7 linked regions of the Nothobranchius furzeri genome follow. The protein of the gene in region 1 purifies or fractionates together with the protein of each later gene. This does not show direct contact. Links are inferred from orthologs where the notes say so. Each region holds a gene or a part of one and is shown in the gene's direction. Other genes may lie near its edges.

Region 1 (2,349 bases):
CCTGTCCTGCTGCCTGAATGCGGCCTGCATGGCTCTGATGGATGCAGGCTTGTCCATGAGCTGTCTTTTCTGTGGAGTGACGTGCGCCATCGGTGCGGACGGTGACATCATCGCAGATCCCACAGCAGCTCAGGAGAAAGTAAATCTGAAAGGAATTTGAAGCAAATACTGAGACTCCTTTAGTTCTTTTCAGGTTTTAATTGATGCGAAGCTCTGATGAAGACGAGCCTGTAGAAAAACAGCTCCCAGGAATTCGGCACAGACGACCCCGGTGCAGTCGACATCATTTCAGCAGACCACACATCCATCCGTGGTTAAAAACCTGTGGGTGCTGACCTTTACTTACTTCACCTGCAGAGTTTCTCTCTGGGCCACGACTACATTTCCCAGGGAGTTTCCAAAATATCTCAAAATGTTTGCGAGAGGTTCTTAGCTTCCTCCTGAGTCGCAGGGCTTCGCACCTGGGTCTCTGGGTCTTTGTGGGTGTCCTGGAAGGATTCTGTTTAGTTTCTGTTTGAAATGTGAGACAACTTTGGGAGGAACCTGAGAAAAGACCTGAGAAGGCACGTTGTGACCGACTGGAGACCGAAAAGAGAGCATCCAAGCAACAATAACGAGGATAAATCACAAACAAGTTAAAGAGCAAGTCACCCCCTACCATACAAAACATACACACACACAGGCTCACAACGACATTGTGACATCATATGGTACCAGCTAACGTTCCAGGGTACCTCTTAGCCAATAGCGACGGCAGATTTAAATTCAACTGCAGTGCAGAGTTTTTACCTGACAACGGCACAACACTGACAGTTTTAGACAGAATATTTCAATTTTTACTAAAATGCATAAAAGTGCAAAACTGTTGATGACACGTGTCTGCAGCACGATTAGACACGCGTTTATATAGTTTATCAGAAAAACAAGCTGATTTGGGGGTGACTTGCTCTTTAAAGAGCAAGTCACCCCAAATAACCTTTTTTTTTGCTGATAAACTAAAGAAACGAGTGTCTAATCGTGCTGCAGACACGTGCCGTCAATAATTTGTCACTTCAGTGCATCTTAGTTAAAATTTAAATATTCTGCCTAAAACTGGCAGTGTTGTGCCGTTGTCAGGTAAAAACTCTGCATTGTATTCTAATTTAAATCTTCCACCACTATTGGCTAAGAGGTATGCTATGATGTAAACTGGTAGATTATGATGTCACAATGTCTGTGTGTGTGTATTTGTTAGCAGCTCCGCCCCCTTGGTCTGCCAGGCAACAGCATTTGTTGCATTTTTCAAACATGAAGTGGGAGTGGAGTTAGATTCTGGTAGGGGTTGACTTGCTCTTTAAGATATTTTAGGAAATACACAAAGTGTTTAGTGTGACTCAAACAGCTCATTTGGTAGTTCTGGGCCTCCAGCTGGTTGCTAATGGTAACAGCGCAGGCTAATGCTGACCTTTTGTTTTTTCTTCCGTAAGGAAAGTCGAGCGTTGATGACTTTCGCCATCGACAGCACAGAACGAAGAGTGATGATGTCATCGACCAAAGGTTCATTTTCGGTCCAGGAGGTGAGCGATGAAGCGGGCTGTGTGTGTTTGTGTTTCTAATTCCTTTACGGCTTCCTGTTCGTTCCTCTGACTCCGTCGTTTGTCTTTCCGTTCGTCCACAGCTGCAGGAATGTGTAGCCGTCAGCCAGAAAGCATCGGAGAAGGTCTTCCAGTTCTACAGAGACTCCGTGAGACGGCGCTACTCCAAAAACCTCTGATTCCCCCCCCCCCTTCCAAGTCTTCTTTTAATAGAAAGCATAAATATTCAGTTTTTATTAATTATTTTCAAATAAAAAGAGAGGAAAATCTTTTCATTTAAGTGCATTCATTAGGATTTATTGATTTAATTCAAATATTCACACTTGAGAGTGACCGAACCTCCGTCTGACTGACTCGATGGAAACGCCTTCGGGTTAGGGTGGATGGAAACCAGAGCGACAGGAATCTTTTATTTGTCCCACGACGCAACAAGGTTTGTTTCTGTAGGATGTTGAAGACGTGCAGGCACAGTGGAGCTGAATCATCTGACGAGAACAAGATGTCCTCCGCCTTCGTATGACAAAGCCAGTTATTTGTAGTCGGCTATGAAAACAGAACTGGGTTCTCTTTTCTGGACCGGGGGTCTCGTTGATCAAACGTTGCGTAGCATCCTTACTAAAACGTTCCATCTTTCCGTTCTTTTAAAAACAGAAAGGTTTTATTTACCTGCAGCGTTTCGTTTGCGGCTGCAAACTTTGTCAGAGCTGACGCCGATGGTGGCGTCACTTCCTACGTCGTTTATCCGCGGGCAGCAGAGGACGTTGTCGCCCTCTGC
Region 2 (4,009 bases), on another chromosome or scaffold:
GAGTCAAATTCTATGTTTTAAGCTGAAGGTGGAGCTATACTGTGGTATTTAGGCAGAATTTTTAATTTTTTAAGAAAATGCACCAAAATGCTAAAATAATGAATACACACATTTAAAACACTATTAGACACTCATTTATACAGTTCATCAGCAAAAAAAAGTTAATTTAGACGTTACTTGCTCTTTAAGTTTGATCAGAAGTTGCTATGTGTATTGTTTATTTGAAAACTATTTACAGAGCAGCCTCAGAGTTGAGATTAAATGTTTTTGATCACAATAGTAAAGGAACTATTACAGAACAAGTTTTTCAATAAAATCAGAACATTAATATTTAAGTGCATGAATTAAGAGAGAGAGAGAGAAAAAAAGATCTTTTCTATAGCGCCTCTCAAGATAAAAATCACAGGGCGCTTCACAAAAACAAAACATGTAAAATAGAAAAAAGAATTTAGAAAATGATTAAATTAAAATGAGCAAAAAATAGACAATTGTGATTAAAAATGTAAAGAAAGAGAGAGAGAGTGAATAGGAAAGAGGGAGTGGATCCTCCTCAGGAAGAGGAGAGAGAGAGAGGGGGGGGGAAAAAGAACCCCGACTGGAGTGGAAGCAGTGACATAAGAATTAAGTCACACAACGTTTTCCACAAATGCACACGTTCATTCGGAAAGCCACACTCTTGTGTTTCACAAATATAATTCGGAGGAACACAAATGCACAAGCTCATTCGGAAATTCACACTCTTTGACTCATAAATATAATGTGAAAAAATAAGTCACGCAACATTTTCCACAAATGCACACGCTAATTCTGAAGTTCACACTCTGTGGTTCACAAATATTATTTGTAAGAACACTTGTAATATAAACTCACAGATCATCCGAATTGCTGAACGTGCATTTACGAAAAGCTTCTCATTTGTGAACCTTTCTGCGTTTGTGAGTGAAATCTGTGCGCTGAATTTTGGGGGCTTGTCTCCAGCATGTGTTACCATGGTGAATGGGAGGGGCTTCAAGCTAGCCACATTGGTCTTTAAATTATTGTTGGCTAATGTGTTTCGGTTTAAACAAACAAACATATAAACTGAAATAATTTACACAAATTCATCTTCGAGTGTTTTCACGGTCATGTCCTTTTATCTTTCTAGAAAAGGTTAGATGACCAGGATCCAATTCGAACAGCTGCTCGTGTTTGATTCATCATCCTTAACATCGACCATGCATGCGCATCAATGTTCGATTGTTTCAGACTGTGGTGAGCGCTTAGCCCAGTGGCTAATGCTAAGTGCTGATTGTTAGATCTAAACGAGTTCGTTTGAATGAGTTCGGATTTACTTTAAATTAGTATAAATTAATCGGCACAATATGGCGGAAGATTCATTCAAACTGTCAAAAAACCTGCTGCGGATGAAGGTAAGCGTTAGCTGCTAGCTCTGCGCCGAACGTCATTGACTAAACAGAAATGAACGTTTGATGTGTGATAAGAAGACGCTAGTTTCCTCCCAGATGCTGACTCCAAGCAGCGTTTATCACCCTGAAACTGAACTTGAATTCGGGGTAAAGCAACGAGACGAAGCGGATTTAGGCGTGTTTCAGAGATGTATCTGATCTCTGTGAACCCGTGGAGGAGCGGGATGTGCCTCCTTCATCTGGACCACTCTGAACCAGGACCGAACCTGAGAGAAGATTCTACCAAAGTCCAAAAAAATCCGAACCACAGCTCACAAAAAGCCAGAGCTTCTGGTGCAATGATTAGAATCTTCACTCCCAACACGTCCTCCATCCTGAGCAGCACCACGCAACGTCCTACAGAATCAAGTCCAGGATGGACCGACTGGTTCTGGGAGACCTGGTGGCCGCCAGAGAGGAGCCTGGGAAGGGAAAGCTGTGCCTCTTGTTTTACTGTTAGAACCTCTAGGAAGGAACCAAACTTGCTGCTGCCTGAGAACCAGGAGTTGTGGGAAGAGAGAAGATTTCTGATGGAAGTCAACTTTAGAAGTTCTGGATCTTCCAGGAAGCTGATGATCTTGGCAGCATTGTTGTGGACCTGGCTAACGGTGGTTTTGGTTGGGTCCAGATTGAGTAAATGTGTGCTTTGTGTTTCAGTTTATGCAGAGGGGACTGGATGCTGAGACAAAGAAGCAGCTGGACGAAGACGAGAAGAGGATCATCAGTGATGAACACTGGCACCTGGACCTGCCGGAGCTCAAATCTAAAGAGTATGAGAACAGGAATCCCACTAGCCTGGCGAGCCACGACCCATAGACAGATCTAAATAATGGGGTGGGATCTACGTTTTTTTTTTTTTGTTTTCCAATAACATCCTGCCTACTTAGTGTTGCGATTGGTCCATGAAATCTATATAGCGCCATGATTGGACCACTACAGAACAGCAGCCATCTTTATTTGTAGTTTACCTGGCTGATACCTATGTTTGGACAGTTTCGAGCGGCAGCCATGTTTGTTTGCAGGGACATCCCTCCCACCTCGCTAAAAGAGCACTGTGATTGGCCCAACAAACCAGTAAAACACTGATTGGAATGCCACGGATGTCAGTCAACGGGGCAGCCCGCCGTTACATTAAAAAAAAAAGTAAAACAGCGCGCCAGCACTAGCCTGGCAAGCCAGACTAAATAAATGTATTATTTAGGCAGGATGTTGTCTGAAAACTCAAATTTTATTGATCCTATTTATCTTAATAATTCCCACAAAACTAGATGGTACTAGATTAGTAGTAAAAAGTATTGGTATTGGGCGGCAATACTAGCCCCTGTATTTACTTGGTATCGGATCGATACCAAATTTTGCAGTATCGTACAGCACTACTGACTAGTCGGCGGTCAGCCGCTCGTTTGAAATGGCTTTGGCGTCAAGTTTGGACTATTATGACTTTTTAGCTTTTGTTTGAGTCAAGATCAGATAGAAGTACTAACGTTTATTTAGGAAAAGGATGTGTTTTGCATCTTCTTTGACGGAGTTTGGTGGACTGCCTCGTTGACCGACATCTGTAGCGGTGAGTAAATCAATGCTTGCCAGGCTAGAAGAAACGGAATCGATACCATCACGCAGGTATCTAGTAAATACTCAATACCAACGTTAGATCGATACTATCGATATCTTAGCTCGATCCGCCCAGCCCTATTTGTCAGTTTTACTGCCTCGACGCTCCGCAGCTACAACATGGCCGCCGCCTCCTCTCTTTCCATTCAATGTTTCTGGTAGCAGCGGTAAACAAGGCTTTGAAGTATCGCGCAAATTCATTGTGACTCGAGACATGTGAGGTTTGTCTTATTTTACTTACTGCATTATGAAAGTAAACAGCGCGTGCACACACACACACACACACACACACGTTTATTTGTCAGGACGGCTCTCCTCCTCACTGCACCTTCGCTCGGCCAGTGCTTCTTCCCCGGCTCCTCGGGCCCCGCCGCCGCGCTGATTTGTTTTAAAGAAAAACAACCTCAAAAGTCATTAGATGGTTACAACCTGTCTGTGTCTGGTCATGTGGGGCCTTTCCCTTTTTTTATTCTGTCATGAGACTGTGGCCTAGTCCACACGTAGCCGGGGTTTTTTAAAAACGAATATCCGCCCCTCCAAAAACTTGCATCCACACCACCTCGTTTTAAAAACAAACTGTCCACACGTACCTGGATAAATACGTTGTTAAGGACATGCCAGACCTGTAGGCGGCAGTACTTTCCCCGTTCTTAACCTCGTCCTTCGTCTGTGGTCTTCCGCAAGGAGCAGTAATTCCTCTTGCAAAAACAAACAAGCAGAAAGCGCTTGGACAATTGATAAAGCGAGCGCAGCTCTGAGGGCATCCATGCTGTCGGCTAGTGTAAACACAGGTCGCACACGTGATGTCAGCATTGCTTTGTCGCAGAAAGTGACGTTGCGGACCTTAAAACTCCGGTTTTGTCCGTCCACACGCAGACACCCAACACGGAGAAAACGCACATCTTCACTTTGGCCGGAGTTTTTTTAAAAAGATCAGTTTTCGTGTGGATGAC
Region 3 (4,204 bases), on another chromosome or scaffold:
TTGTAAGTCGAATAAACATAAACAATAAACATAAATAAAAAAACAAAACCCTTTACAATGAAATGAATCTTTAATTGAGGCGTAAAAAGGACATTTGTGAAGATTTATGTATTCTGGTGAGTGATTTTTACATTTTATCTGGTCACAAGGACAGATTATGTGACATCAGATTCATATTTGGGATAAACTATCATACCTGTGAAATAGCACCATCTGCTGAACAGACTGAGATCTCCACAGAAGTATCCAACATTCAGGGGAATTGGTTCTGAGCTGCTTTGCCCATTTACTGTTACTTTTATAAGACTGTCTGGAACCTTGGGAAGGGGCCTTACCATATTATAATAAAAGGGAACCATAACCATAGAAAAATGTTACTGCAAAGTTAAAAACAATCTATTATATTTTCAAGTGAATTTGAATACACATAGCCACCAAGAAGCATGGATTTACACAGGTAAAATGGCTCATTTCTGAGTAAGCATCAGACAACAGCAGAGATAAATCCAGAAAAGTCTTTACTCACCGGTGTATGCATAAACTTTGGGTCTGAAGGGCCAGATTAGTGAGCTCTGCAAGCTTTGGCGAGAGCTTAGAGATTTCCACTCTGTATTTTTTTAGCGTGCCATCCTCAGCAACAACCTCAATTTCTACTCTGTTCAGCCCATCTTTCAGTTTAACAGTGCTGGGGCGGTAACCAGACAGCTGAAAAGACAGATTCTGAAAGGGTTAATAGGAAAAAAATTGACAAGAATTTAAATAAAAGCTCTCCAAACACGCAGGAGAGTACTTACAATACTGTATGATGTTCCACAGTCGCTGGTGCTCAGGCCCAGAGTTACTTTGTTGACATTGCTCCCCACAGTCACTGGTAGTCTGTGACTTCTGGTGAGAAGATGGAGCTCACCATCAGAGACTGAGAGCTTTTCCAAATCACAGTTGTCCATGTCCAGCCTTCACTGCTTGAGAGCGTGTGCAGCCAAACCCTAAAAGCACACCAAACAAGCTCATTTAGCATGCTGACGCCCCGGGTTACCATGGTAACGATGGCCTCGGCTCTAGTTTTACTTTCTCAGTAAATGTAGATCTTTCTTATTAAAGTGATACTAACTCACTTTAAATGAACTGACTTGGTGTGTAGTTATTTATTTAGTTAGCAGGATATAAAAACGCTAACGTGAATGGCAAATATGATTAAATTACAGCAAAGTGATACTGAACCTCTCTGTAGCTGATGATAGTTAAAGGTTAACGTTAACAAACATGTATGGTAGCTATCAAAACCTGTGTCAGTCTCGTGGCGTCTTATTTGCACATTTTAGTTTAGTTTTACCAGCAAATTCGGAGATTCGAATCACGTCAATTACTCCGTTTCGGTGGGTGGCGGAAGCATCAAGCGTTGTTCATCTACCATCTTTAAAAGGTAGAAGAAGAAACTTAAGGCGAAGAAGAACATCGTTCCTCCAGACAGCAGATGGCAGAAGAGAGCAGAATGGGGTGCGTGCTCTTTGTTATTGAACGCCATTTCCTGTCGTTTTAAAGCGTGTTTCGTTCTAACAAGGTAGATATAAAGATTTACAAGACGTTTGCCTGTCTGCTCATACTGTTTTGTGATAAGTAAGTTAATCTTTGATGACTTTTCCTCCTCATTTACTGCGCGCGAGGACCCGTAGATTTGATGGGGAAGCACCAGCCCAAGCTAGTGGCTATAAATGTGTCAGAGATCTGAATGTTTGTGTGTCCGAGTTACAGCGGGGATTTATGAGATCTTATTTTTACCGTTTTACAGGAAAATGGCAGCAGAAAGCAGGAGCCTCGAGGACTACCCGTACGAAATAGACGAACAGCTGACTACTTTCGACTCCTCCGTTAATGCGGTGAAAACCATGCTGGAGAAACTGATGTCCATGTCCAGGAATGATCAGCTGGAAAAGGTACAGCGAATGTAAAGTGTCGGATGGACAATCTAAAACAAGATTACGGAACTATATTAATAATAATAAGGCAGTGTGCCCCGCTTGGTAATGGAACACAGTGACATTGCCACATGTCAAAGTTTTTCTCAACTTATAATTAATACGGAGAGTCTCAATCATGATTTATTTTATTTTTTCAGTCCTTGATACAGATCTGAGTCATTTACATCTGTCTATATGAGTCCTAGGATGATCCCTGCTCATTTTATCTACTTTTATTTATCAACAGTTGATCACAGATCAGTTTGTCTCATTCCTGCTAATGGATTTTTTAATATCACAAGTTTATTTAACTAATTTATGAAACACTGACGCAAACAAGAATTACAGCCAGGATAAATAAACACCAGCTGGTATTAAGAGACATTTGAACAGCTGACACTGTTCCTAAAATGTGATTCAAACTGGGTATTGAGTTTTGTTCATTCATGTTCAAGCAAAGCATCCCATGTTGAACCTGATCAAAGCTGGTTGACATAAAAACTTTAAACAGTAACTTAATAAAGTTAAAGTCCCATTAGTCGTCACACACTGGTGAAAGTCATCCCCACATTTGACCCGTCTCCGTGGGGAGTGGTGAGCTGCAGCTGTAGCTGCGCTCGGGAACTATTGGGTGGTTTAACCTCCCAGTCCAACCTCTTTAAAGCTGAGTGTCAAGCAGGGAGGTATTAGGTCCAATTTTTAAAGTCTTTGGTATAACCCTACCAGGATTTGAATCCCGATCTCCCAGTCCCAGGGCGGACACTCTACCACTAGGCCACTGAGAAGGTAATATAATATTAGAAATCACAAGCGGCGTGTTGGGATACTGATCCACATGGATTAGTAAAAATACTTAACCGGTTTAATTGATGTTAAATAGAAAATGTGATGCTATTTTTTCCTAATTTTCCACAGCTTGATCCTTTGGACCAAGCCAAGTTGGATTTGATGTCTGTCTACACTCTGAATTCATTATTCTGGAGTAAGAAATTTCCTTTAAAAATTACATCATATATAAATGTTTCCTGGTTTCCTTATATATAATATAAGTAGTAATATAATGAACTGACCTGTATTTACTGTGTGAAGTGCCTTGAGACGACCGTTGTCGTGATTTAGCGCTATATAAATTTAAATTGAATTTCCATTGCTTGTAACTCACATAGTCATATCAGAAAGCGTGGAAAGGTAGTTACTCGGATGTTTGTTAATTTAATGAGCATTAAATTTCCAGCCTGAATAAAATGTTTTTTTTTTTACCTTCTAGTTCTGTTTATGAGCTAGGCATGGACTTGTTCCGGGTGTTTATTTCTTTTTCAAATATTTCTATTAATATTGTAGGATCAATGAAAATAGTTATGAAAAACTATCATGCCCCTGTAGAAAAAGCAGTCTTAACTTTTGTTTTTCGTTCTAGTGTACTTGGTGACTCAAGGAATAAACCCAAGAGAACATGGGATCAAACAGGAGCTGGTGGGTGTTTCTTCTCTGTGTTTTCATGCTTTTCTCTTTTTTTCTGATGGTCTAATCTCCATGAATCATCCCTGTTCATCAGGAACGAATAAGGACTTACATGAACAGAGTCAAAGAGATCACTGACAAAAAGAAAGCTGCTCGTCTGGATAAAGGAGCTGCTTCACGCTTTCTCAGGAACGCGCTTTTTGATCCGGAGAGCAAACAACCGAAAAAGGCTGCTTCTAAGAAACCGGCCGACGCAACTTCTGACATCTCAAACGCAAAACGCCCAAAACAGAGCTGAACTTTAGGATTTGCTCAGCAGACACTGATATTTGGACTAAAAGGCATTTTGATGGCAGTTTTTTTTTTGTTTCTTAACCAGTTGGTGTTGAAGAAATCAACATTGTAACAATCTTCTCTTGTTCACTGGGAGACAAAAAGAACTTTTCTCTCCTGGAGACATCATCTGTGATTGTGTTGCATCTCTGACAGCAAGTGGTCAAGATTCACATCAGCTTATCTTGATATTGAAACATGACTTTATTCAAAAATATTTTTTTAATTTGAAAATTATTCAATAAATCAAAAGTTGTGTTTTTGCTGAGTTTGTATATTTTATTGGCCAACAAGTTTTAGTTTATTTGAATTTTTTTTAGCATTTAAGCCAAAAACTGCATCAAAAAGTTGCTTATTGATATTTCAGCTGAAAGTTGTCTTACGCCACTCATTTTTTATAGACTATATTTTCAAATGTAACATCAGGTGCAGCACATTTGTAAAAGAATAAA
Region 4 (3,948 bases), on another chromosome or scaffold:
CTGTCCAATTCGTGATTATCCATTAATAATAATCCACTAATACCTCTCTCTTTGAGTTTATCTCCAGAATGGAGTCATCACAGGCATACACAATGAGTGTAGCCGTGGCTCTCAATTCATCTGTGTAAAATAGAAATCATGACATTTGATACAATTTGAAAATTTTTTAAACAAAATTACGAACCATAGCATCATTCTTCTCTACATTTTTATGATATTTAGACAGAATTTGTTTCAGAGAAACTCCACAAGCCGTGCGACACAGGAAAAAAACACTATGGTGACCGCAGCAGTCGGATGCTAAACTCTGTAGCTGTTTATCTTGATATTGTATTCTTGAACAACGTAGTGCTAAGATAGCAGGAAAAAAATATGTCAGTCTAGATTGTGTATGTGAGGTGTTGTGAGCTCAGATGGGCTGTTCTTTAACCATGGGGCATAACCTTTGACAGGATGATTGTTGACATTTGCACCCTTCTTAGACGGGACATAAAAGTGTGTTGCATGCATGATGGATCTGTTAAGTTGTTTCTACGACTTGCTGAAAAGAAAATGCTCGCTACTTTTTTCTGCATCTTCTTCTCTTCATTGTTTGCTCTCACTTGATGGCAGATTGATAAGACCTGAAAATGCAATTTCTTGGAAAACTAAATTAGTTTGTTGGAAAAACGATGATAGAGCTGAACATTGCAGTTTTGTAACAAAATTTTTTTAACTGATCAACAAGTCAAAACAACCGTTTCAAATCACATATTGAAACAGGTGCGTAATTATTTTTAGTAGAAACTGTGATGATTTTTTAAATTCACAGATGATCCCTACAATGAACACAATCTAAAGTCATAATAAGTTAAATAAAGGTTGATAATCGAAGACATATATTTAGCTCGTTGTTTTTTATGATTACTGTCTCCGTATCAAATTAATTTCTAAGCTGTATTAGTTTATTTGTCCAAAATTAGTTTGTAAATATTAACTGACCGTGGGTCCGTTTGAACTGCGCCCACTCAGAGCCGCTCCTGTCAGTAGAACTGATTCCAGTACATACAGGAAGTGACGTCAGCGGAAAAATCTTGAAGTTATCTTTTTTTAACTTTAATACGCATTTTGAAAATTTGTATGATCCGTTGTGAAAATATAAACGTTAGAAAACATTTTACATTTAGCTTAGTTGTTTTCGGTGCTGCTAAATAAATCGTAATTCGTACACTCGTTGTTGAAAACTACACAGGAGCAAACTCAATGGCAGCCGCGGTGGTAAACACATGTATGTGAGCTGAATAACATCTACACCGGGACCAACAGAGGACAGAAAGACGAAATGTCTCGCCACAGAAATGTTCGAGGTTACAACTACGATGAAGGTAGATTACTTTAGTCAGTATTTGTTGCTTCATTCGTTGCCTTCAGACTGCTAAACACCTTAGCCGCTAGGCTAAAATTAGCTAGCTAACGCTAGTTCGACGTTCACCTGCCAAAATAATAATGCTGTCGTGTCATTTGGCACCAAGAAAAAAAAAAAGACAAATTACACCTCAGTACCGGCGTTTATGTGCATATCCACTGATTCAGGTGTTAACGTAAAAACCTGAAATCAATGAAAACAACTTGCATGATAATAAATGTAGCGGCTGCTATTCAGTGATTTGTTAGAAAGCTCTAAACGCATGAATTGTACAAGTTTCATCTAAGACAGCTAACATACACTCAACGGTTACGGTTCTCAAACCGGAGTAATTACCCGGCGACCATCATGCTAGTTAGTTTGTTGCGGATTTTTAAAATTGCTGACAAGGCAGAGTGACATCTGGCACAAAGCACTCTGTAACAATGATGTAAAGAAATATTTGGCAAATGATTAAAAGCACTTATTTGACCTTGTTCTTTTGTATATTTTTAATCAGATTTTGAAGATGATGACATGTATGGACAATCTGTGGATGATGACTACTGTATATCACCAGCAACAGGTTGGTTTCCAGTGACTCATTAAGAGGAAATACTGTATTAATAAAGGACTGGTTTAGTTTCCTTCTGAGACCCTTTCTTAAAAATGTCCAGTAACAGATTTTAAAGTCTTTACTGTAACTAAAGTGACCAATTACTCTGATCAAAATGCCAGCCAGCCAAATAAAACAACCTATTCTAATAGGTCTTCCCATGTTGCCAAAACTGCTCAAATAGAACAAAAGATCGATATTGATCACCTCTTCAATCTCTGGTTATCAGTCACCTCTGAAAAGAATGATGAAAAATCAAAATGTGACCTGTTTGTATTTACATGTTTTTTTCTATGTAGCATTAGTAAAATTCTGCATGGACACAACTAATCTGCAGCTATGTCTATAACTGAGTCAAGTTAACACATTATGGGCTAAAACTTTGTTGTTTGATCTTCAGTCAATCCAATTAAAGTTAATCGAAAATTTCTAATAATGAAATGGCTTCAGTTTAGTCAGTCTTGAAGATATTGAGCGGTAACTCCATAATTTGTCAACATGGGATGAGGATATACTCCGACATGAAAATGATCAGACAATATGCGTTTCTTTAAAGAATGCTGGGTCTTTGATTTTTCATCTTTTGGCTGATGCTGTTGTGTATTACAGGTTTGCAGTCAGCACTTAATTAAACAAAATTTTGTTCATTTAGCTAATCAGTTCATTTACTCACGTCGAGAGCGACAAGCCCCCAAAGAGGAGCCTTTAGAGGAGGAAGAGTATGAAGTGGAAGATGTTCACATGTCCCCAACAGCCGACCACAACCTTGACCCTCTTAATCAAGGTACTCTTTTTATTTCACTGCAACTACAGACAAAATGTTTTTGGATTCTTGTGTATACATTTTTTATGTTTTTACATATGATTGATCCTGCTGAATCGATAGTTTTTTTCGAATATATTTTTTCTAACTCCCATGTTTCGTTCTAGCTAAGCTGTATTCCTGCCTGGACCACATGCGGACCGTGCTCGGAGACGCAATGCCAGACTCGGTGCTGACCCAGGCTGCAGTCAGACATGGGTTTGACCCGCAGAGGGCATTGGATGCAGTCCTGTCTGAAGACACCAAAACGGCCCCGGTTACCAGAAGTGCAAATGAAGAGATGACATCAGTCAGTAGAGTTTGTCAAGAGACGACGCCTCTTCCACAAAGAACCAAGCAGGAGATTGTGGCTGAGAAAGGTACGCCTAGAGTGAATCAAACCTGAAGTTTTATTTGTTTTAAATATTGGAAATGAGTGAAATCAGATAATAATCATTAATTCTGTATGCTTAGCACTTTATCACTAAGAGGGATTTACTACAGGCTCTATTGATGACACATTTCCATCATGCATGTGTTTAACAAAGTGCCTTGTTACTTTTTGTTCTTGCTTCTTAAATGTGGTGTGATTCATCACTTCTGCTCATGTGATCCTCTCGTCCCTCCTCTTCGACAACTTCGCTTGGCTTTCGTAAGGTAAGGAGCCTGCTTGTCTGCTTCTCACACAGACACTACATCCACGGCACATAAACAAACACAACCAAGTGCACGAAACCTCTTATCAGCGCTCGAGACCGGGCCTGCAAGTAGCAGCTGTGCAAAGAAACGTTTTCAGCTTGAAAATGCTCATGGAGGCGTCGGCGGCAGCACCAGTTTGGCTCAGCTCATGTGTGAGCACGAGCGAAAGAGTAAAATGAGCGCAGTTGATAACAAGTTTTGCTTAGATGTTTCATCATTGAGTGTAGCTTCCAATTCATTGCCGACTATTCCTAATCAGAGTAGCCTATCACTTGGAACTCTGGCATCTTTGAAAATGTCCTCTGAATCTAACACAGCAGCTCCCTCCATCCTTTCCACTTCACTCAATAACCTGTCACTAAACACCCCCAAGGTGAGAAGCTCCACTGTAGCTCCTCCTCCTGAGTTTGGAAGTCTCAGTTCTGTTCCGCATCCATCGACGGCCGA
Region 5 (3,982 bases), on another chromosome or scaffold:
CTTTTTAAAATTGTATATAAATGTAATATCCTCTGGTGGCAAGAATAAGCTCACGGAGAGTGGGTTGTTCTTTGGGAATATTTATTACTCCAACACAGGTACAGCCATGCTTCCCGGCAACGAACTTCCGCTTGTCTAATGTTAAAGTACACCCCACTTTGCATCCAGAACACTAGGTCCACCTAGAGGCTTCCTGTAAAATGTTTAACCTCTCACAATACTACAATAAATTCATCACATGAATCATAAAAGATTTGCTGTTTGCCACAGAGGGGGGAAAAAAAGTGCTGATGACAGAATTTCCTGTTTAGTATTCTAACCAGAAAAGGTGTTCAATACTAGGCTAGTAAAACTAGACCAGATTCCTCCCTTTTAAGTTTAAATACAAATAATATACTTATTTAGTCTGGCTTGCCAGGCTAGTTCAACACAGATACCTTTAAGCAAACATTTAACTGTTTTGTGAACAATTTTTTAATGTGAAACTTTTCCAGATAAAAGTGTTTTTAATCAACCCCTAGAACATATTTTGTAAACGTCGTCTTTTTGTTTATTTCAGAAAATTCTGGTAAATTCAAAAACCTTTTGAAAAACACCTGAAGAATTTCTGTTTGCGGGACAGAAGAGAATCCATGAGTTTTCTTTTGTCCGACAGTACATGAACGCAAAAGGACAGCACCAACCGTGGCTCCGACTCTCTCAACACGGAAACAGGTGTTGTGCCGAAAGGAGCATGCCTGCCGAAATGCGTATCCCCATGAAATAAGCATAGAGGTAAACTAGAATACTTTATGAGCGACGAGGCTAACACGCTTCTGTTACGTGTTTTTCGTGAAAGCGTTTTGTTTTTGTTTACAAATATGATGAAATAGTTATAAAAAAATTACGTTTTTGAACGTTTGAGAATAATGTTTTAGTGAGCATTTTTTATGTATTTTTGTGCTTTCTCCCAACTATTTTGTTGTTGGTTCTTAAAAAACACACGTGACACAAAATTACTCATTTTAAAATATTTATTACTACTTTATTACTATTTCTTCAAATAAAAATGTTTTAAACATAAATTTCTTTAATTTATCTGCCTACAAACGATCTTTTTGTAAGGAATCACGCAGATAAACATAATAATATTACATTAATAGTACTTTTTAAGCGCCTTTCCACAACGGGGATGCACATTTCGCCAGGCATGCTCTTTTCGGCACAACACTTGGAGCTTCCCTCTCACAAGTCCGCCAAAACATAGTCTTCACTTTAAAGTTCCGGTTTGTAAACTTTGGGTCAGCGGCTGCTGATCCATTTCGGTTCAGAGTTCGGGATGATTAAAACCGAGAAGATTCTGCACCTGAAGAGTTACCGAGGCCGGAGGGTTCGGGTGGTTCGGGAGCACTATCTGAGGGAGCGGGTTCCCTGCTTCAGCTCTCTGTGTCAGGCGGCCTGTGCTAACGGTAAGTCCGCCAAAACACACAACTAGTTGCTAAAAACACACAAACAGCCGTTTAAAACACAACTAGTCGTTACAAACACAACCAGTCTATAAAACACACTACTAGTCGCAAAAAACAAACAAAAATAACTAAATAAACCGGCCGATAAAACACATCTAGTCGCTAAAAACACAGCCAGCCACTAAGAGCTAACGAGTGTTTTATTTCCAGTCCTTCATTTATTAAACCTTTATTTATTTTTATTTAACCAGATGAGTCGATTGAGAGCTCATTCTCGTTTACAGAGATGATCTGGCCAAGATGCAGCAGCAACAGACACATAGTTAGCTTTACACTAAAGAAAAACAGATAAGATAAAAACATACAAGATAAAACAGTTAGACATAAAGACAAAGGACTGTTCTATTATATAATATGTACCAGCGATCCAAACAGACTTAAAACTGTCTTTAATGTGCCAGTGTGTATTTTTCCTGGTTGATGGGGAGCAGTAGACACCTAAAACATTGCAAGCAAGCAGCATTTTTGTGTTGGAGTAAGACCTTACCAACGGATGCCTATTAGGGTCAAAAAGCCCTGAGGAGTGCAAACTTCAGGAAAATGACAAGCACATCAGACCTCCTTTCATCAGTGGCAACAAGTGAAGAGATAAATGTGTAAAACAATGTTTATTAATAGTGAAAGTTTTATAATCGTTTGTTACTAATCAGTAAATGCATGGACGTAATTGGGGGGGGGGGGGGGGGCATGTCCCTCCCCACTTTTTCCAACGTCAAGTTTTGACCCCTGCACATTTTACCATCCAAAAACAATATTACGCTATACTAAATTGACACTGGTTGAGCTCTAGGACCAAGCAGAAACCAACCGTTTGTGTTGAGACCTGTTTCCCATTAGAGCATACTGTAAAGATTTTTTTTGATTCATTTAAACAAAATTTTGCTTTAAACTTCATTTTCTCCAACAGATTTAACAAGCAGATTGGTTAAACTTGATTTGATGACTCGGACTGGAGCTGTTGGGCTGCGCAGTGGTGCAGTGGTTAGAGCTGTTGCCTTGCAGCAAGAAGGTCCTGGGTTCGCTTCCCGGCCTGGGATCCTTCTGCATGGAGTTTGCATGGTCTCATTTTGCATGCGTGGGTTCTCTCTGGGTACTCCGGCTTCCTCCCACAGTACAAAAACATGACTATTAGGTTGATTGGTCTGTCTAAATTGTCCTTATGTGTGTGTGTGTGTGTGCATGATTGTTTGTCCTGTGTGTCTCTGTGTTGCCCTGCGATGGACTGGCTCTCTGTCCAGGGTGTACCTTGCCTAATTGCCCGTTGACTGCTGGAGATGGGCACCAGCCCCCCCGCGACCCTACATGGACAAAGCGGGTTCAGAAGATGGATGGATGGATGGATTGGAGCTGTTGGTAGACTCACATTCTTGTCCAACCGAACGTTAGAGGACCGATATAATTTAATATTTGTATTTTCTCTGATGGATTTATTATCACAGGTAGATCAGTGTAACAGAACATCTGATTTCTGTATAAAACAGTGAATATGTTGTGTGTAGCCATGGTAACGACCTGATGACCCCTCAACAGATGGCAAGGTGTTGCCCGGAGACTTGACCCACTATGTGGTGCCGGGGGTGGAGGTGGTGGTCAACTTCCTGGAGATCCTGGAATTCAGGGAGCTGCAGGGAGTCATCTTCACCCAGACGGCCTGCCAGGCTCTGCAGAGTAAAGGGCGCAGGTACAACACACACAAACACACACACACATAGAGGGTGAAGTGGGTTGTCTGAAGAACTCCAGTCTACCGTCTTTTTTTATTCCAAAGTGATGGAGAACATCTCATAAGTTTTCCTGACAAACCATTAGCAGCTGGTTCTGGTGTGTGTGTGTGTGTGTGTGTGAGAGAGAGAGAGAGAGAGAGAGAGAGAGAGAGAGAGAGAGAGAGAGAGAGAGAGAGAGAGAGAGAGAGAGAGAGAGAGAGAGAGAGAGAGAGAGAGAGAGAGAGAGAGAGAGAGAGAGAGAGAGAGAGAGAGAGAGAGAGAGAGAGAGAGAGAGAGAGAGAGAGAGAGAGAGAGAGAGAGAGAGAGAGAGAGAGAGAGAGAGAGAGAGAGAGAGAGAGAGAGAGAGAGAGAGAGAGAGAGAGAGAGAGAGAGAGAGAGAGAGAGAGAGAGAGAGAGAGAGAGAGAGAGAGAGAGATCGGCTGGCGGGATGATGTAGAGTGATATCTGCTGTAGGAAAATGCAATCAGCAAGGGCACAAAAACAAAACACGCTCAAAGATAGCGACAGAGCTCGAGACTAGGTCATATACCCAAACGAGTTAATCATCCGACGTCGTGTAGGTCTCAGACTGCCCCTCATATAGCCAGCCGGTGATTGCAGCTGAGTGGCTGCAGCTGGGCAGTTCTCCGGCACCGCCCACCTGCAGGAGAAGGGTTAGTGTGGGGAACAATATACCTCAGGCCATGACAGCTTGACCTTCTCTGGAACCGAAGCCTTTAGGAAAAGCAGCGGTTGCCGTCCGACCAGACC
Region 6 (4,196 bases), on another chromosome or scaffold:
TTAAGCTGTTTAATTGGACCAAGCATTTTAGGTCACAGATAGATGTAGCTTAGGGTCTCTGTCTGTACACTTATAAGACAATTTAGGTGATGGCATGTTGTTTTTCTTCTATTGAACTGTTTTCTAATAATGTTGTGTTAAATAAAGTGAAGGAAGGAGAGAAATAACGTTTCCCTAGCAGTTTTTAAAAATTTCCCCATGTAATCCGATTAATCGATTAATCGTGTCGAGACCCCATCCGAATCATCGATTATCCAAATAATCGTTTGTTGCAGCCCTATTCTTCGTCCTTCTTATGTCTTCTTTGCTGGAATGTAAACACCAGAAGCAAGCGTACGACCTTGGCAATTTATGCACACTGTCACTGTGTCAAAGGGCAGCTGTTAAGGGCAGAAATGGCATGTTCATAACGCTACACTGTAAAGACTCTGACACTAGTCAGTGACTCGATGCAACCTGCTGGGTTCCTTATATAGGAAAGTTTTTACTGATTGGCTTAATGAACTGAACTCAGTGCACTTATAAGTAGGTTCATTGGAATGTTTGCCTTCAAACAGTGTACGTTTAAGATTTGGTGCTATGTAAATATGAACTGGTATGCTAATTCAAGGGAGCCTCAGTTTTCTGAGCTGCTCTGTGGGACAGCCCTCAGGGCAGAGGAGATAGGCTGGTGTTGTGGAGAAAAATGTTGGTGGTGGGTGGGTGTTAGAGGAACAATGATGTAGAAATTGGTGTAGCTCCTCAAAATGTTGTTCTACCTTCCTGGTTCGTTAATTTCTGATTGGGCAAGAAGTAAGCCACCAAGTTGCCTTATATTTCAATCATCCACACTTTATTTACCCGTAATGCATGGGGAGATTCTGCCACCTCCAGTTCCTGTGACAAGTCTGAAGATTTTACAAGATGCCCAACTTTTTATCCTTTCTCTCCTGCAGTTTCCTGCTGACACCTCCCTAGCTTTACTGAAGGCCATCACCCGTTGCCTTGGTAACTGGCACTCCTCTCTGCACTCACTCCCTGCTTCCTGTCCTATCTTCCCTGCCAAGGTTGCGATGACCCTTTGCCCTGGCCTTGTCCCTTTGAACAGCTTTTAGATGCTCTAATCTGGCCTGTTGATAATCTCCTTCAGCGTAGCCTTAACTTGTAGGACATGTGTGATCAAACAAAGCATACGGATGATTCACCGTAAAAATGAATATGTGAACGTTACATATGTGATCAGTCGGGGTTTCCGCTGCCCGCCAGGCTCGTGCTATCGGAAGAAACGCGGATATTTTCTTTAGTATCATTCTGGTCCTGGTGGTGGCGCGAATGCACCGCAAAGGTGTTGACCAACCGCAATAGAAAGGGGGAAGAAGAAGAAGGTGGCAAAGTCTCGTACAACAAGCTTACATCGCGATAGTTGGGGCTAACATTCCAGCCTCTGTGTGCTAATTCCCGTATCTGTCAGAGGACCTGGAGAAGACGGAGAACCAAGAATCCCCGCGCCCGCCCGTTGATCCACAGCACAGCAAGCTGGCCCCGGTACGTTCATCCCGACATGGACCCAAACACTGCCCATCGGTCTCTGGCGGAGGACGGCGAGCTCGAAGACGGTGAAATCTGCGACGACGAAATCGAAGAGAGTGTTCCGGTGCGGCGGGGGGATGGGAGAAGGCCGCGCGGCGGCGCTCGTCCCCGGCCAAGAAAGCCGCACAAACAACCGTACATACGACCGCTCATGGACCACTCGTTGCCAGATTTCAGCCTCCGGTTGCCCTACAACCCCGGACCTCACCTCCACGGCCCGTTCCTCCCGAACCACCGGCAGCTATGCGAACAAAACGTTCCTGAACGACCTCCTGTTCTGCCCGCTCCACTCGGGATGTCCATGCCCCAGTCACCTGGACCTGGTCTGCACTGCGAGTCAAGCCCCCGATCCAACTTCTGGGAGCGGAGCCACGGGGCCCTGGGACGGTTCAGGCACCGAGTCACACCGAACGGTGGACGCGGGTCCTGGATTCGAGGCGGTCCGGGTGGGAACAGCAGAAACCCCCCCTGTCGCCACGGACCGGGAGAGAGTCACGGGTCTCCGTCAAAGAAACGTATCCTTGTTTCCGTTAGCGAGTCAGGCGCTGCGTGGTTCCTACTGTGTACACAAAGCGGTACAAGTGGTAACGTGTGTGACGTGTAATACTGTAATGTGTATGTGTGTGTGTGTGTAATATATGTGCGTGTGTGTAATCCTGTAATTGTGTGTGTTACGTGTGTGTGTGTGTGTGTGTGTAATGTGTGTGTGTGTGTAATTCTGTAATGTGTGTGTGTGTAATATATGTGCGTGTGTGTAATCCTGTAATTGTGTGTGTTACGTGTGTGTGTGTGTGTGTGTGTAATGTGTGTGTGTGTGTAATTCTGTAATGTGTGTGTGTGTGTTACGTGTGTGTAATGTGTGTGGGATTTCAGGTGAATAGTTAATTATCAGAACTTCTTCAACACTTAAATATTTGATCTGCTTTCATGTAAACTTCAGGATGCGTAAAAGTTTGTTGTAATCAAATTTAATCAGGATTGATGAAGTGGGACTTTTCCTGACTCGAGCCTCCAGAGTGGCCTTTAGGGAGGATTCGGGTCAGGAAAGTACCGGCCATTTTTGACAGAACCGATACCAGTATGGACGAAAGCTTTGAGGACCTTCTGACCAAATACAAACAGATCCAGCTGGAGCTGGAGTGCATCCGGAAGGCTGAGACAATGGCGCTGGAGCCAGAGTCTTCTCCAGTTTCTGAAGGCCCTGCTGGTGCTGCTGGTACTGGTGCTGCTGCTCCGCCAGACTTCAGACCAGAACCAGAAGGGGCTCCTGAAGGGAACGATCAGCAGGACAAGGATGAAAGGAAAGTGTTCCAGGCGTTCAACATCAAACCTCTGCGTCAGAAACTTCCTACACCTGCAGAACTGGACCAGCTGCACATCAAGTGGGAGGAGCAAGAAGCAGGTGGTGGTGCTGAGGGTGAGTCTGGATGATGACAGGTACTCGAGTTTACCTGTGAGTGAGTTTAGTACCTGATGGTGGACTGTGGTGTTTGAGATGTGGGCTAGTGAGTCACACTTCCTGTGTTCTGATTCATCAGAACCCCCGAGAAGCTCAGAGGCCCCGGAGTCGGAAGGACCTGGTTCTGCAGAGTCTGACAAAGCCAGGAAACATCAGGAAGTCAACCCTGCTCCCAGCGAATCCTCTGCTTCCAGCGAGGACTCGACAGTTTCACCTGACAAGGTGAGTTCTTATGGTCCACCATCCTGCAGGTTCTAGATGTTTACCTGGTGACGCAGGAAGTTGTGTGCATGAACTGGACTTCCATGTTCTAAACCCAACCCAGTAATGCTAGTACTCTGTTGTCTCTCAGCCTCCAGAGAAGATAGAGGAGGAGGAGCTGTCAGAGCTGCAGCTCCGCCTCCTGGCTCTGCAGTCGGCCAGTAAGAAGTGGCAGCAGAAGGAGCAGCAGGTGATGAAGAATAGCAAAGACCGGATCACTAAAGCCTCCCAGGACAGAACCTCCAGCTCCACTTCTAGTTCTGGTTCTGGAGCAGCGGCACCGGACAAGCAGCGAGTCATCACCAGGTCTGCTGCTGCTGCTGCTGCAGCTGCTGCTGCTGACAGGAGCAGGACCAGGTCCAAAGCAGCAGACAGAACCACGACTGGACCCAGACAAGCTGACCGAGACCGAACCAAACAGAGTCCAAAACCTGGTCCCAGAGTCCTGCCTGACCGGGCCAGGACTCCAGGAAGATCTCACAACACCAAGAGGCTGATCAGTCCAGGTGAGACCAGCCGTCCAGCAGGTAGAGGAAGAGGGCGGGGCCTGTGTGTGAGAGTTCTTTTGGGATTCGGCTGTTCATTGGGTTGGACCACGGGTTGGGGTTCTGGTTCACCCACCAGAACCACTGATGGAGCTGTTGTTTACCTGCCTCTGCCAGGTCCTGCAGCCAAGCAGGCCTTCAGGAAGCAGCAGCTTCACACCTGGAAGTTGCAGCAGCAGAGGAAGCAGCAGCAGGAGGAGGAGGAGCGCCGCAAGCGTGAGGACGAGATCCGTCGAATTCGTGACCTGTCCAACCAGGACGAGCAGTACAACCGGTTCATGAAGCTGGTCGCAGGGAAGAGGACACGAGGCAGGGTAAGAGCTCTGCTCCAGGTGTGTTCAGGTGAGAGCTAACAGTGCTAA
Region 7 (3,500 bases), on another chromosome or scaffold:
GTTGGTTTTCTGTTCTGCAGGTGTTCCACGGCGCTGATTCAGACATCGAGTGGCTCCAGAGGGACTTTGGTTTGTACGTCGTCAACCTGTTTGACACACATCAGGCGAGTCGAGCTCTCAACCTGGCCCGACACTCCCTCGACCACCTGCTGAAACACTTCTGCGACGTGGACTCGGACAAACGTTACCAGCTGGCCGACTGGAGGATCCGGTGTGTTGTTAACTGGACACATTTTTAATCATTAATCAACAAGAAAATGTTTATAATAATATCTTTTGAAAGCTGAAACTCAAAAAGAAATTTGTATTAATTGTCCTTGCAGCCCCTTGCCAGAGGAGATGATTCAGTACGCTCGGTCAGACACCCACTACCTCCTTTACATCTACGACTGTGTGAGAGCGCAGCTTTTAGACAGCAACCACGGGCAGCCGGGACTGTTGCAGTGTGTGTGGAACAAGAGCCGAGACATTTCATTAAAGGTTTGCTCAAACGTCTCTTACTCTCACATGCACAAGCGGTCTGGAGACTTCTGTCTAAAGTCCATGTTGTTTTGCATCATTTCTGTTTGTTCTGGTGTGCTTTTATTATTTTTCTAATTGACATTATCTCTAGGGGTGGAGTGACATTTTGTTGTGTTTTAAATCTAAGAACTTTGTCCAAGCCGAGGGTCAAATTTTGCTTTTTTTGCAAAGGAATTCCCCCGATTTTCTAGATGTTTTATGTCAAAATCTTCATAAAGAAAATATGCATCGCTTTATTTATTAATATAACTTAGATGCTAAGGCAAGCATAGTTGTTTTTTTTTTTTGTTAGTTTATGACTGCAGCAGCAGAAGGAAGCTTGTTCCAGTGCATTCTGGGATTTTAAATTCTAAATGGGTTTGGTATTTTACAGCTACAGGCTGTTTACATTAAAATGATATTAAACATGATTTCACAGATTGGTGTGTTATAAATGTTTTGAGTGTCAGGAAGGATGTCCCATAAATTCAGCAGCAGGGATTGTGATGATACAGATACGACACCAGTCTGTCTAAACGTAGCATGTAAAACTCGCCCTGGTGTCTCTTTCTAGTCCTGGTTGTTGCACAAAGTTGTTCTCGTTTTTATCACCTGCCCACAGTTTTCTCTTTTACCTCATGTCACGTGTCTCCTTCCCCTGTGTGACCCGACTCTCTCCTTTTTAAACAGAAATATTTGAAGCCCATCTACACCGAGGAGTCTTATTTAGAGCTGCAGAGGAAGCAGAAAAAGTCCTTTAACACTCAGCAGCTCACTGCCTTCAGACTCCTGTTTGCCTGGAGGGACAAGCTGGCCAGGCAGGAAGATGAAAGCACCGGGTAAGGCTTTGTGAAGTGATGTTCTATCATAGCGGCTTATTTATATTAGGAGTGTGTGTGCACAGTCGGCAAAGAACCAAATATTAATGCTCCTTCTGCTCCAAGGTGTTTAAATGTGATTTTATTTGTGTTCAGATACGTTTTGCCCACCCACATGATGATCAAAATATCAGAGGAATTACCCAAGTAAGTCCAGTAGATTTTACGTTAAAATCACTGCAGAAGGTAATTTATTATAAATAACTTTTGTGTTTTTATTTGTCGGGCCTCCTCAGAGAGCCTCAGGGCATCATCGCCTGCTGTATCCCCGTGCCACCGCTGGTGAGGCAGCAGGTCAACGAGCTGCATTCATTGGTGCAACAAGCCAGAGAAATGCCCCTGCTGAAGGTGAGGAACCACCGATGCTCTGCGCTGTCACTGTGCCTGAATCTGTCATGGTTTGATGCGTTTGTCACTTTTCACACAGGCTGAGATTGCAGCTCAGAAGAAGAAAGGACTCACGCCCGTTAGGAAGGTTAGCTGAAGGCTGAATGGGCGACACCAGCAGCTACAGACAGCCACCATTTGGGGAAAATTCATGTTTTGTTTTTTATGTTGCAGCCAGAGGTCTCTTTGTTTGGTCCACATGATGTGTCCAAGGTTTCTGAGGGTGAAGTGCCACAAGTTACAGCTGACGGTGAGCTTGACAGTTACTGTGCTTTTTCTAAGTTTCAGTGAAAAACAGGGTATCCGCGGGTCCTTAAAAAGTCGTAAAAAGTCTTAAATTTGCTTTTCCAAATTTAAGGCCTTAAAAGTCCTTAAAAATGACAAATAATCCTTAAATACAGTTTACAAAGGTCTTAAATTACCAAAGACCCAATAAACAAGATTCTTTTATTTCTAAAAAAAATTCGTGAATTTCTAGTTAGTGTTCAGCATTTTTTGTGTACGATGTTGGCATAAGCGGAACCGTACACATTCAGTGAAAGGGGACTATTTTTAGATGAGCACATTAGCTGGTTAAGCTAGTGGGAGCCTGCGCCATGGGAAAGTGCAAGTTTAATGGTAACTGGATGGCTAATCCCACGTTCGCGACGTTCCAGGCAATAGCTGGAAATCATAGCTTAAATTTAATTTCAAAAACAGCTTAAATTTGGTCAAAGTGGCCTTAAAAATGTCTTAAAAAGTCTTAAATTTGGCTCCCTTAAACCTGCAGATACCCTGGAAAAAGTGTTTCAGGAAAGATTTATTTATTTATTTGTTTTTTTTTTTTCAGAATCATCTGTTAAAAAGGGGGTCCTGTTCTCAGAGGATGTTGATGAGGAAACAATCCGTCTGTCGGCACCACCTAAAATAACGCTGTTCCAGGTAGCTCTACCTATTTTACTGCATTTTATTCAGCTTTTGTTTATTTGTTTTTTATAACAATGCGTTTTTTTTTTCTTCCTGAAGGAACCAGAAGCTCCTAATGACCAAAGATCCATGTCTGTCGCTCAGATGAAAGCGAGACGCATCATTGAGTCTTTTGAAAACCCTTTCAGAATGGTTAGAGGTGGAACATTTAACCTAATTCACATTTTTATTTAACTAACTGAATAATCGTGTATCTTCCTCTTGCTATCCCAGTATTTGCCTTCAGCTGATGTCCACGTCAACAAGAACGCCAAGTTTGACCCATCCTCAAAAATATTTGAGGTGATCGAAGCCCTCTGTTGATTAGTGCTTAGGTTTTTTTTCCTGTTTGGATGTTCATGGATGTTCTTTCTTATTTTAACAGATTAGCAAGAGATGGAAACTTCAGAGTGTTGAGCAGCAGCAGAAAGAGCTGGAGGCCAAGAAGAAAATCAGAGAGGAAGCAAAACAACAAGCAAAGAAAGCATCAGGTAATTTGGTTCAATTATCCTTTAAATTTTTAAAGCAGAGTCACATCATTTGTTGTTGTTTCCACAGAGCAGCGAGCTAAAGCTAAACGGAGCTACCAGGAGTCCCTCCAGAAGGTCCCAACTGTGCGGCAGCAAGCAGCAGTGAGTTATTTACTCTCCCATTCATTTCCTGTTTGTTTTTACTTGATATGAAAGTCGTGTCCTTTCTGGTGAAGTAGAAATTTGTTTAGAAATTCAGCCCGTGTGGAAGTGGCCGCGGCGCCGGCTGCAGCGTCATAAAGACGTCGGTTTAATAGTT

Evidence for each region.
Region 2: the proteins of exosc5 (region 1) and mphosph6 purify together in Homo sapiens (affinity purification with mass spectrometry; 6 studies listed by BioGRID and IntAct, with this or other methods). This does not show direct contact. The link is inferred for Nothobranchius furzeri from reciprocal best matches to the Homo sapiens genes EXOSC5 and MPHOSPH6.
Region 3: the proteins of exosc5 (region 1) and c1d purify together in Homo sapiens (affinity purification with mass spectrometry; 4 studies listed by BioGRID and IntAct, counting the BioPlex papers as one, with this or other methods). This does not show direct contact. The link is inferred for Nothobranchius furzeri from reciprocal best matches to the Homo sapiens genes EXOSC5 and C1D.
Region 4: the proteins of exosc5 (region 1) and hbs1l purify together in Homo sapiens (affinity purification with mass spectrometry; 3 studies listed by BioGRID and IntAct, with this or other methods). This does not show direct contact. The link is inferred for Nothobranchius furzeri from reciprocal best matches to the Homo sapiens genes EXOSC5 and HBS1L.
Region 5: the proteins of exosc5 (region 1) and dis3l purify together in Homo sapiens (affinity purification with mass spectrometry; 5 studies listed by BioGRID and IntAct, with this or other methods). This does not show direct contact. The link is inferred for Nothobranchius furzeri from reciprocal best matches to the Homo sapiens genes EXOSC5 and DIS3L.
Region 6: the proteins of exosc5 (region 1) and zinc finger C3H1 domain-containing protein purify together in Homo sapiens (affinity purification with mass spectrometry; 3 studies listed by BioGRID and IntAct, with this or other methods). This does not show direct contact. The link is inferred for Nothobranchius furzeri from reciprocal best matches to the Homo sapiens genes EXOSC5 and ZFC3H1.
Region 7: the proteins of exosc5 (region 1) and exosc10 purify together in Homo sapiens (co-immunoprecipitation; 8 studies listed by BioGRID and IntAct, with this or other methods). This does not show direct contact. The link is inferred for Nothobranchius furzeri from reciprocal best matches to the Homo sapiens genes EXOSC5 and EXOSC10.

The regions. Positions count from the first base shown.
Region 1 is NC_091753.1:58,582,384-58,584,732, forward strand, and holds the end of exosc5 (exosome complex component RRP46), read left to right. Parts: coding exon 1-139; intron 140-1,466; coding exon 1,467-1,556; intron 1,557-1,657; coding exon 1,658-1,753; 3' UTR 1,754-1,849; downstream 1,850-2,349. UniProt on the Homo sapiens protein: Non-catalytic component of the RNA exosome complex which has 3'->5' exoribonuclease activity and participates in a multitude of cellular RNA processing and degradation events.
Region 2 is NC_091744.1:80,075,428-80,079,436, forward strand, and holds the start of mphosph6 (M-phase phosphoprotein 6), read left to right. Parts: upstream 1-1,209; 5' UTR 1,210-1,361; coding exon 1,362-1,409; intron 1,410-2,102; coding exon 2,103-2,215; intron 2,216-4,009. UniProt on the Homo sapiens protein: RNA-binding protein that associates with the RNA exosome complex. Involved in the 3'-processing of the 7S pre-RNA to the mature 5.8S rRNA and play a role in recruiting the RNA exosome complex to pre-rRNA; this function may include C1D.
Region 3 is NC_091752.1:37,833,640-37,837,843, reverse strand, and holds the start of c1d (nuclear nucleic acid-binding protein C1D), read left to right. Parts: upstream 1-1,404; 5' UTR 1,405-1,474; coding exon 1,475-1,497; exon of another isoform or gene 1,498-1,617; intron 1,618-1,789; coding exon 1,790-1,934; intron 1,935-2,873; coding exon 2,874-2,940; intron 2,941-3,375; coding exon 3,376-3,431; intron 3,432-3,513; coding exon 3,514-3,717; 3' UTR 3,718-4,204. UniProt on the Homo sapiens protein: Plays a role in the recruitment of the RNA exosome complex to pre-rRNA to mediate the 3'-5' end processing of the 5.8S rRNA; this function may include MPHOSPH6.
Region 4 is NC_091742.1:448,477-452,424, forward strand, and holds the start of hbs1l (HBS1-like protein), read left to right. Parts: upstream 1-1,148; 5' UTR 1,149-1,321; coding exon 1,322-1,364; intron 1,365-1,904; coding exon 1,905-1,970; intron 1,971-2,652; coding exon 2,653-2,784; intron 2,785-2,930; coding exon 2,931-3,182; intron 3,183-3,464; coding exon of another isoform or gene 3,465-3,948. UniProt on the Homo sapiens protein: GTPase component of the Pelota-HBS1L complex, a complex that recognizes stalled ribosomes and triggers the No-Go Decay (NGD) pathway.
Region 5 is NC_091749.1:66,618,705-66,622,686, reverse strand, and holds the start of dis3l (DIS3-like exonuclease 1), read left to right. Parts: upstream 1-1,182; 5' UTR 1,183-1,318; coding exon 1,319-1,448; intron 1,449-3,038; coding exon 3,039-3,189; intron 3,190-3,982. UniProt on the Homo sapiens protein: Catalytic component of the RNA exosome complex which has 3'->5' exoribonuclease activity and participates in a multitude of cellular RNA processing and degradation events.
Region 6 is NC_091744.1:80,026,363-80,030,558, reverse strand, and holds the start of zinc finger C3H1 domain-containing protein, read left to right. Parts: upstream 1-1,396; 5' UTR 1,397-1,540; coding exon 1,541-2,084; intron 2,085-2,584; coding exon 2,585-2,986; intron 2,987-3,107; coding exon 3,108-3,250; intron 3,251-3,380; coding exon 3,381-3,795; intron 3,796-3,951; coding exon 3,952-4,148; intron 4,149-4,196. UniProt on the Homo sapiens protein: Subunit of the trimeric poly(A) tail exosome targeting (PAXT) complex, a complex that directs a subset of long and polyadenylated poly(A) RNAs for exosomal degradation. The RNA exosome is fundamental for the degradation of RNA in eukaryotic nuclei.
Region 7 is NC_091755.1:29,805,560-29,809,059, reverse strand, and holds part of exosc10 (exosome complex component 10), read left to right. Parts: intron 1-20; coding exon 21-211; intron 212-323; coding exon 324-480; intron 481-1,191; coding exon 1,192-1,340; intron 1,341-1,475; coding exon 1,476-1,526; intron 1,527-1,615; coding exon 1,616-1,727; intron 1,728-1,806; coding exon 1,807-1,854; intron 1,855-1,940; coding exon 1,941-2,016; intron 2,017-2,595; coding exon 2,596-2,687; intron 2,688-2,771; coding exon 2,772-2,864; intron 2,865-2,945; coding exon 2,946-3,014; intron 3,015-3,096; coding exon 3,097-3,202; intron 3,203-3,269; coding exon 3,270-3,343; intron 3,344-3,500. UniProt on the Homo sapiens protein: Catalytic component of the RNA exosome complex which has 3'->5' exoribonuclease activity and participates in a multitude of cellular RNA processing and degradation events.